Oryctolagus cuniculus: one gene and its partner. The protein of the gene in region 1 binds, or shares a complex with, the protein of each later gene. Links are inferred from orthologs where the notes say so. Each region holds a gene or a part of one and is shown in the gene's direction. Other genes may lie near its edges. The genes, in order: XIRP2 and NEBL.

Region 1 (4,544 bases):
TATTTTAGATCTAGTACAATTGTCTCATGTACAAGGCAAGGTAAAATAATATTGTACTAAGTATATTAGGCTCATGTAATAATGTAATGATTATTTTAGATATATATAAAATCCAATTTAATCTTGAGAACAATTTAAAATTGGCAAACTCCATCCTACTTCATCACCGATGAAGACAGCTAAGCTTAGATAACATTTGAAACTTGCCGAAGTTATGGAACACAGCTAGTGGTGAAGCTGTGCTGAAATACTGTCTCCATTATCTGTTAGAAGCTTCTGAAATGATTTCAATGTTCTATATTTGTATTGTCTACTACATAGCCAGTACCCAGTTTCTACAGATTGAGTACTTAAAATGTGAGGAATACAACTGAGGGACTGAATTTTTTATTTAATTTTAATCAATTAAAAATTAAATGGTCCCATATGCCTATTAGCTACTCTCCTGGTATGCACAATTATAAATAATTAGACTCTACCAGCACCTGTCCCAGGAAAATTTTATGGAGTATACAAAAAAAATTCTCAGAAGTTTTTTCTTATAATTAATAAATTGGCATATTACTCCTCAACCTATGATTAAAGAGAAACTAAAATTGTGTATGAAAAAAATGTAATGTATAAGCTGATTTTTGTTCAAAATAATATGATAGCTAGTTTACTGGTAAACATGTTGCAAATGAAGTGGAGCATATATAATTCCAGCGCTTTCTCAAAGTGGAAGGGCAGTTCCCTCTTTATTTGGGTTTACTGGTAGACCTGTTGGATACACACTGAACACCATATTAGAAAATAATAGGAGCCTAAAAAGATAGGGGAAGCTGACTGTAGTTTATATTTACTTAGAATATATTAGTTGTTGGCATTATGGAGCTCATGCAACAGTTCCCCTATTTTCTTCTTGGTTAGGTTGACAGGGTGTGCTGAGTCAGTAAGGTAGCTGCAAAGGACATTTAATATGATTTGCTCAGGAGCATGTGAGGTGACTTCTCTTCCGTGTCTGCTCTTCTTCATGCCAAATGATTTTCAACTAACATAAACAGACAGGAATTCCACAGTAAGTGTTCCCTTAATTCTTTCTAGAATGCTGTCTCACCCCTCTTCCTTTTTTTTTTTTTTTTTTTTTTTTTTTACCAAAAGAAAACTTACTTCATAAACACTGGAGTAGTGTTTTGCTCTATATGTGACACCTCAAGGGAAAAAAAAAAAAAAAACACAACTAGTGTTTAGCTAAGAACATTTTGTGCAATAAAAACATTTCCACTTCCTCAGAATGCATATGAACAAGTCCACCAAAATAAATTAGAACATTTCCTAACTGCACTATTTTCATATTCCTAGTTCTTAAAATATTGAAATTATTTCTTTTAATACAAGTCATCCAAAGACTTTCCTCCCCCCTTTACGCTGGTTACTTTCCAGACTTCGTTGAGAATTTCTGAGTTGGCCTCTATCCATGGCTACAGGAGGAAGTTTGATGGACTGCACATGTGTTAGAGCCGTGCATACATTAGTGAGGTCACTGTGAGGCAGCCTGCTCTACGAGGCACAGTTCTGGAAAGAGTGGTTGACTCAGGCCCCACCTATACAGAGCTCAGTTCCTAAAAATAGGGACACGTTGCATCCTTTAGTTGCATGGCTAAAATAAATTCAGCCGTCCCTTCTAGTTGCTTGATAGACCCTTCAGTGGAGCTGGCCTCCACTCCACCGATTCCTTTCAGGGGACTGGGAAATTGCTGTACACGAAACAAGGGAGGAAAGTATTGAGTGAAGACTATAAAGACATAGGAGATATCAGCGAACTTTCGGTTGAGTCTAAACATTACGGAAGGTACGTGTAAAATAGTCATTGATACACATCTTCTTCCAGGTTTGTAAATGCTCTGTCTAGGTACTGAAGATCAATGAAGACCATATAGGTCAAATTATAATCACTGTAAATGAAAATATTCACCTGGATTTGGTTTTATGATAATACTTAGCACTGCCTTATGTTCCGAAATTGATGGCTTCATACATAAGACTCTTTGCAAATTAGCATTTTTTGTATTTAATATTGAATGATAATGAGCCAAAATTGATAAACTCATATGGGTTAAAAATACAGCACAACGTTTAGCAAAAACTTTAGTTTGTCCTTTATGAGCATAAATTGAATGAATATATTAAACTATTTCTTGGACTTTGGTGAGGGAACGGAAGAGATTAAATATTTTCAACTGTTGCAGCTTGCTCAGAGAAATGTATGAAAATTATTCTTTCCGAGCCATGTTTGATTTTTAAGTCCTTGCTCCAGCCATACTCTTATGTCCACTGAGAGTATTACTGGAGTAAGGATTAAAGAATCAGGTTCTTACATGTTTTGCAGAATTAACAAAAGCATTGCCAGTTGGATCTGCCAGCCCTAATTATAGTAGCTACAAACTTAAACAGAGAAGACTGAGATTGTACTTTAAAAGTATCATGCCCTGTGTTGTTTCAAATGGATTTTTTCTGTTTTCAATTGCCTGTGATTTACCTTAATTTGGTCCTGTTGTACTTTAAGTGTTTAGGTGTTAAAGAGTGAAGTGATTTGGGAGAGACATTCTAAGGGAACTTCTTAAGACACCAACTAAAAGCAAGGACACTTTAAGATTGCATAATACAGAGTTTAAATTTAGCCAGCTGGTGCTGAAATGAAAGATATTTTATTTTTACCATAGCTCTATTTGGTCACTGACGAGCTGTAGGTTGTTTGAATTATTTTAAAATTTTATGTGCAAGGTGCCAAAGGGGACGTAAAATATTTACTTCAACTACATTCAAGACCATGAATTTTAACATGGCAGACCTCCCATTTTGAGTTTTAGAAGATATTATTATTGAGTGGCGAAAATATTGGATCAGAAATCAGAAAATCCTGAATTCCATGCTCTAATATTTCCCTGCTCCTATGCCTAATATTGTAATATTTTTCCTTCTTGCTGTCAACATGTAAACTACCAACTAGACCCATTTTTAAAAGCCAGCCAGCATTTCGGATGTCTGCAATATGGCAAAGTGCCAGCTGTTTGGGGAAAATGTAGTCCACGGTTTGCACTGAATGCTTCTGCTTTCATCTGGTGTGGGCATCTTTAAGAAACAGCTTCTCCCAAACACCTGCAAAATAGAAGCAGACATTCTTTCATGATCACAGAGGGCTTTGCTGCAGAAAACACTCGTGTACACATGTCAGCCCACGCCTGGTGTCTTCTGTGATTACAGAGGACAGGAGAATGTCGCCTTTCCTCAGGTTTACTTTTGGGTAGGAAGCCCGCTGAGGTCACGGATAATTTACCATTGTTTACAGTTGATAAATGCCTGTTATTCTATCAGTTCCAGCATTCTGCCTCTCACATCACAGCCACTACATTTGAAAACCTCTGTGCACAGCATTCTCTTTACTTTCTTGGTAAAATTGTACTTATGATGAGATAATTTGGGGTTGCACTCTTTTTATAACTTCAATACTTGGAACTGATTTATTCTCCCTCTCCATTCCCCCATCTTCCCTCTCCTCTCCCCTCCTTCTCCCTTCTCCCTCCCCTCCCTCTCCCCCCTCCTTCTTCCCCAATCAATCCTTCAACTCTGGGTATTAAGAGAAACTATTTTGGAAGGTCTGTTTGATAACCAGGACTCATGTCTAGGTTTGGTAATTTATAGAGCAGGAGTTTACACTTAATAAGTGTCTGGCTATGTAATTCTGAGAGTGTTGATTGAATAGTTGTAGGGGGACAGAACTTAATTGACATTATTTGTCCTTTTTATTTGCTTCCCATCTCCTCTTTGGGAATCATTAAAGTTACACTTTGAAATTTAATTAAATTGTAATTTGTTTTTTCCTACTTCTGAAACAAACACTTGCTCATTCAAATCACAAATTCATCCCTATCCCTTGTAGAGTGGTGAGTAATTTCAGACTTTTTCAAATTCTTTATAAAGGTTTTTTTTTTTAATTTTTAGTTTTTAGCAGTTTCAGTATAGTTCATAGAGACAATAACACTGATTTATGCCATGAAAGTGTATCATCTTTTTAGAACTGTGTAGTATGTTGTATTGTCTGTTTCCTGACACTAAATATATCTTTTTCCCACACTGCCAATTCTCCAATACCAACTGGAGATCTTACAATTCAATTTTGCACTAAACAAAGACCCTAATTCTTGGACTTAACAAAAATCCCACAGATTAAGGGCTCAGTCCCACAGGACTGTCCCCACTTCAGATATCAACTGAAACTGGAACACTCAGGTTACCACTCTCTTCCAGCTCTCTACTGCTTCAGAGGTTCCCACAAACCTCTCCCCAGGCCCAGGAGTTCGCTAGAGAGGTTCACAGAACACAGGAAAGTATTGTGCTTACTGTCACTAGTACACTATAAAGGGTACAACTCAGAACAGCCAAATGGGAGCGAGGCATATGGCAAGGTATGGCGGGGAAGAGTGGAGGCACAGAGCCACTGCACCTTCTCTGCTGTGTTCACCAACCCAGAAGCTCATCAAACTCGGACAGTTAGGGACTTTGGG
Region 2 (3,825 bases), on another chromosome or scaffold:
TCTCTCTCTCCATCTCTCTCCCTTTCTCTCCCTTTCTCTCCCTCTCCCTCCCTCTCCCTTCCTCTCCCTCTCTCTCTGCCTCTCCTTCTCTGTGTGTGTAACTCTGACTTTTAAATAAATAAATAAACCTTTAAAAATATATTTTGAGCAAAAAACAGCACTTTTACAGATATATTTTGTTGATATTTTCAACTGAGTTAGTTAATAACCAATAGTTTTATCAAGTTTACCAAATGGAAATACAAAATTTTCTACCAACTGGCTGTTTCCGTTCTTAATTCATATTAGTAGAAAAACACCTCCCATTGACTTGTGAATAAATCATTCCAAGTCATGTTCCTTTCCCAAGTAAAATTTCCTTCTTGTGCTAAAGAAATAAAAGCACAACTTAATGGCAAATTACATGGCCCTGATAGCAACATCATGTCACAGAGTTTCAGTGCAGTTTTCCTAATGGTTTTAGAGCTCTCACTCTGTGTTTCATTTTCTGTAGAAAGACTATAAACGAGACCTGGAGACTGAGATCAAAGGGAAAGGAATGCAGGTCAGCACGGACACTCTTGACGTGCAGCGGGCTAAGAGAGCATCGCAGATGGCCAGCCAGGTAAGGGGGTAGTGGGATACAGAGTTTACAATGATACACTGGGTTGTGTCTAGAAAGAATCAATGTTACTATTCACATGGCTGGCATCCATATTCAGACACATAATGTCTTAATTGCTATCAAAGTTAAGCAGAGCTCTGAGATCATTTTCTCTTTTTTAGAAACAATATAAGAAGGACTTAGAAAATGAAATTAAGGGGAAAGGCATGCAAGTGAGCATGGACATCCCAGATATGCTTCGAGCCAAGAGGGCATCTGAAATCTATAGCCAGGTTGGTAGAGTGAAGATGATCAATTCAAATGTCCCCTCATCACGTTTGGTGTGTTTCTATGATTTGTATATTTTTGATGGTGTTGGCATTTAAAGTTAGTTCACTCTGTTGTTAACAAACTGGGGGCCAAATTTGATTAACCTTACTAACTAAAAGGAATGTGGTTGTAGATTCAATTCAGTGGGTGTTATGAAATGCCAGAGTCCCTCCTGTTTGTGGTACCCCTTGTTTTGAATCGTGGACATTTTGACCACAGATTGCACACTTGGCTTGAATTTCTCTTGCTGATACTCCAGAAAAAATTTATTCCAAAGATTTGACTTTTAACTTTTTATTTCATAAGATTTATGATTATTAAAATTCTCTCTACATGAAACAATAGTGGCCAACACTGTCCTGCATATCAGATGAGAATTAATCTTAATTAAAAATAAGGGCAGAGCTATGTTTTCTTAAAATGTAAAGTATACTTGTCACATACCCTCTACAAAAACTGCATATGAGAGAAATAGTCGTCACAAAAGAAAATATGGAGGAAGAAGTTATTTATAAAATCTAACTTGGACAAAGATATTCATTAGTGGATAATATCCTTGCTGTAAATTTACACATGGGAAAATATACATGGGAAATAATGAATCCCAACAGAACAAAATAGTAATGGAATAAAATAAGAATGAAAAAAAAAAAAAAACTAGAAATGGAAGAGCTATGTGATCCAGCAATCCCACTACTGGGAATACACCAAAAAGGCAGGAACTCCTTGTATCAAAGAGACACATGTGCCACCATGTTTATAGCAGCAGTCTTCACAACAGTGAAAATATGGACTCAACCAAGGTGTCCATCATCAGGTGAATGGATAAAGAAAAAATATATATACTATGGGATGTTGTTCAGCTACATAAATAAGTATGGAATCCTGTCATTTGCAGCAAAATGGATGGAACTGGAGGACATCATATTGTGTGAAATAAGCCAGACACAGAAAGACAAACACTGCATGTTCTCCCTTATATGTGGGAGCTAAAATTTAAAAAAACAAAAAACACCTCAGTCTGAACACAAAGTGTTGACTACTGGAAACTTGGAGGGAGAAAAGGTTTTTGTATTAATAAAATAAGGTGAACCTGAGTGTGGCTTATTATGTGTGACCAAGATACTAGTAGGGGATGTTAATAGGGGAAATGGGGTGAAGGCTGTTATATGGGAACTCTTTGTATTACTACCTCACAATTTTTGTTTGGAAAATTTGAAATATATAATAAGTATTTTTAAAGCTATGATTTAGAGCCATGCAGTTTGGTAGACTTGGAGGATGTGGCATCTTTCTCTGTCTGTATGTGTGTTTTATAACACATACACACAGAGCTTCAGCTTCATATTGACTGCTTGTGTCTTTTAGAAAAAGTATAAAGATGAAGCGGAGAAAATGCTCTCTAATTATTCCACTGCAGCAAATACTCCTGAAATGCAGCGAATCAAGACCACTCAACAAAATATTAGTGCGGTGAGTTTCAGGAAGTACTTGTATGCAATATTTTCAGTGTTCCTGCCATCTGACTGTGACCCAAGAATTCCATGTGTAGGTGTGGAATTGTCCACTTGGGCATCATGTTAGTGCTCAAAAATTTTCATGTTTTGGAGCATTATGAATTTCAGATTTTTTTGGTTAGGGTTATTCGATCTATATTTCTTTTCAATTACTCTTTGAAATTTTATGTTGTGTTAGCAATGGCCTTTACTGTCACTGTCTCACTGTTGATTGCATTACTTGCATTTTCTGTTGAATTGATTATTTGCATTCAAAATAAAAGTATGAAATATTATCATAAGTTATAATTTATCATGATTGCTTTATAATTACAAGTTCACATTTTCCTCTTTTTGATACTGAATTTAAAAATTGAACTCAAGAAATAATCTTTTTAAAAACATTATTTATTTGAGAGGCACAGAGTTAGAAAAAGAGAGGGAACTAGCTCCCAGCTAGTGGTTCACTCCTCTAATACCCACAATGATTGGGGCTGGACTGAAGCCAAAGCCAGAGCTGGGAGCCAGGAATGAAATCCAGGTCTCCCATGTGGGTGTCAGAAACCCGATTACTTGAGCTATCACTGCTGTCTCCCATGGTCTCTATTAGTAGTAAACTGGAGTCAGGAGCTGGAGGAGGAAATTGAACTCAGGGGCTACCATGTCAGATGTGGTCATCTTAGCCACTTGGCCAAACACCCAACTCGAGATCAGGAAAGAAATCCCAATCTTCTACCAGATTTTTCTCTGAAGATGACAGTAGTCATATGAAGTAATTTCTTTCCCGATAATTGCTTATTTACATGCATAGTATATCTAGGGATTACTAGTTCATAGCCAATTCCTAAAAGTTTGTATTTTTGTTTTGCAGAGTAGAAATCTCATCAGCATCATTAATTAAGAGACTGAGCCTATGATTAGTGGATGTGTAAACTTGAATTCTCTTCTAAAAATCATAAAAAAGTTGGCTACACAGTCAATATAGTAATGGAGAATTATCTGAGTTATTTAGTAGTTAAGCAAATGTGTCATCAAAATGTATGAACTATTAAGTTTGAGGACTTCTGGAATATTTTCCAATTCCTAATTACTTGGCAAGCTCTGGCTCTCAAGGTGTGCTGGTCAGGAGCCTCGGGGGCTCTGGGGAGAGGGTCAGGCTATGCTCAGAAAGGGAAAATCTCACTGACTGGATCAGGGGAAGAGGCTGTTTTGCCCAGGACTCCAACAAGTCCGCAGTAGTCTGGATTTCTAGCTTGTGGAGGAAAGCACCTGTCATACTGTACTCTCCCACCCACAATGGCGCCCACACGTCAAGGGGTTCTGTCCTCCTGTGTCTGTCTTGTGGTCACTCTGTCTTTCTGCAGAGCACTTTTTGTTTTCTTTGTGTTAGGAAAGGGCAGATGCTGAAAGACACAG

Evidence for each region.
Region 2: the proteins of XIRP2 (region 1) and NEBL are in contact, whole or in part, in a crystal structure (PDB 4F14), measured with the Homo sapiens proteins. The link is inferred for Oryctolagus cuniculus from reciprocal best matches to the Homo sapiens genes XIRP2 and NEBL. Residues at the interface, in NP_689594.4 of Homo sapiens: Pro2420, Pro2421, Pro2422, Thr2423, Leu2424, Pro2425, Lys2426, Pro2427; in NP_006384.1 of Homo sapiens: Tyr963, Asp964, Tyr965, Asp969, Asp971, Glu972, Ile987, Asp988, Asp989, Gly990, Trp991, Met1004, Pro1006, Asn1008, Tyr1009.

Annotation. Positions count from the first base shown.
Region 1 is NC_091434.1:74,105,639-74,110,182, reverse strand, and holds the start of XIRP2 (xin actin-binding repeat-containing protein 2), read left to right. Parts: upstream 1-1,502; 5' UTR 1,503-1,831; intron 1,832-4,544.
Region 2 is NC_091444.1:47,142,780-47,146,604, reverse strand, and holds part of NEBL (nebulette), read left to right. Parts: intron 1-493; coding exon 494-604; intron 605-765; coding exon 766-876; intron 877-2,281; coding exon 2,282-2,386; intron 2,387-3,825. UniProt on the Homo sapiens protein: Binds to actin and plays an important role in the assembly of the Z-disk. May functionally link sarcomeric actin to the desmin intermediate filaments in the heart muscle sarcomeres.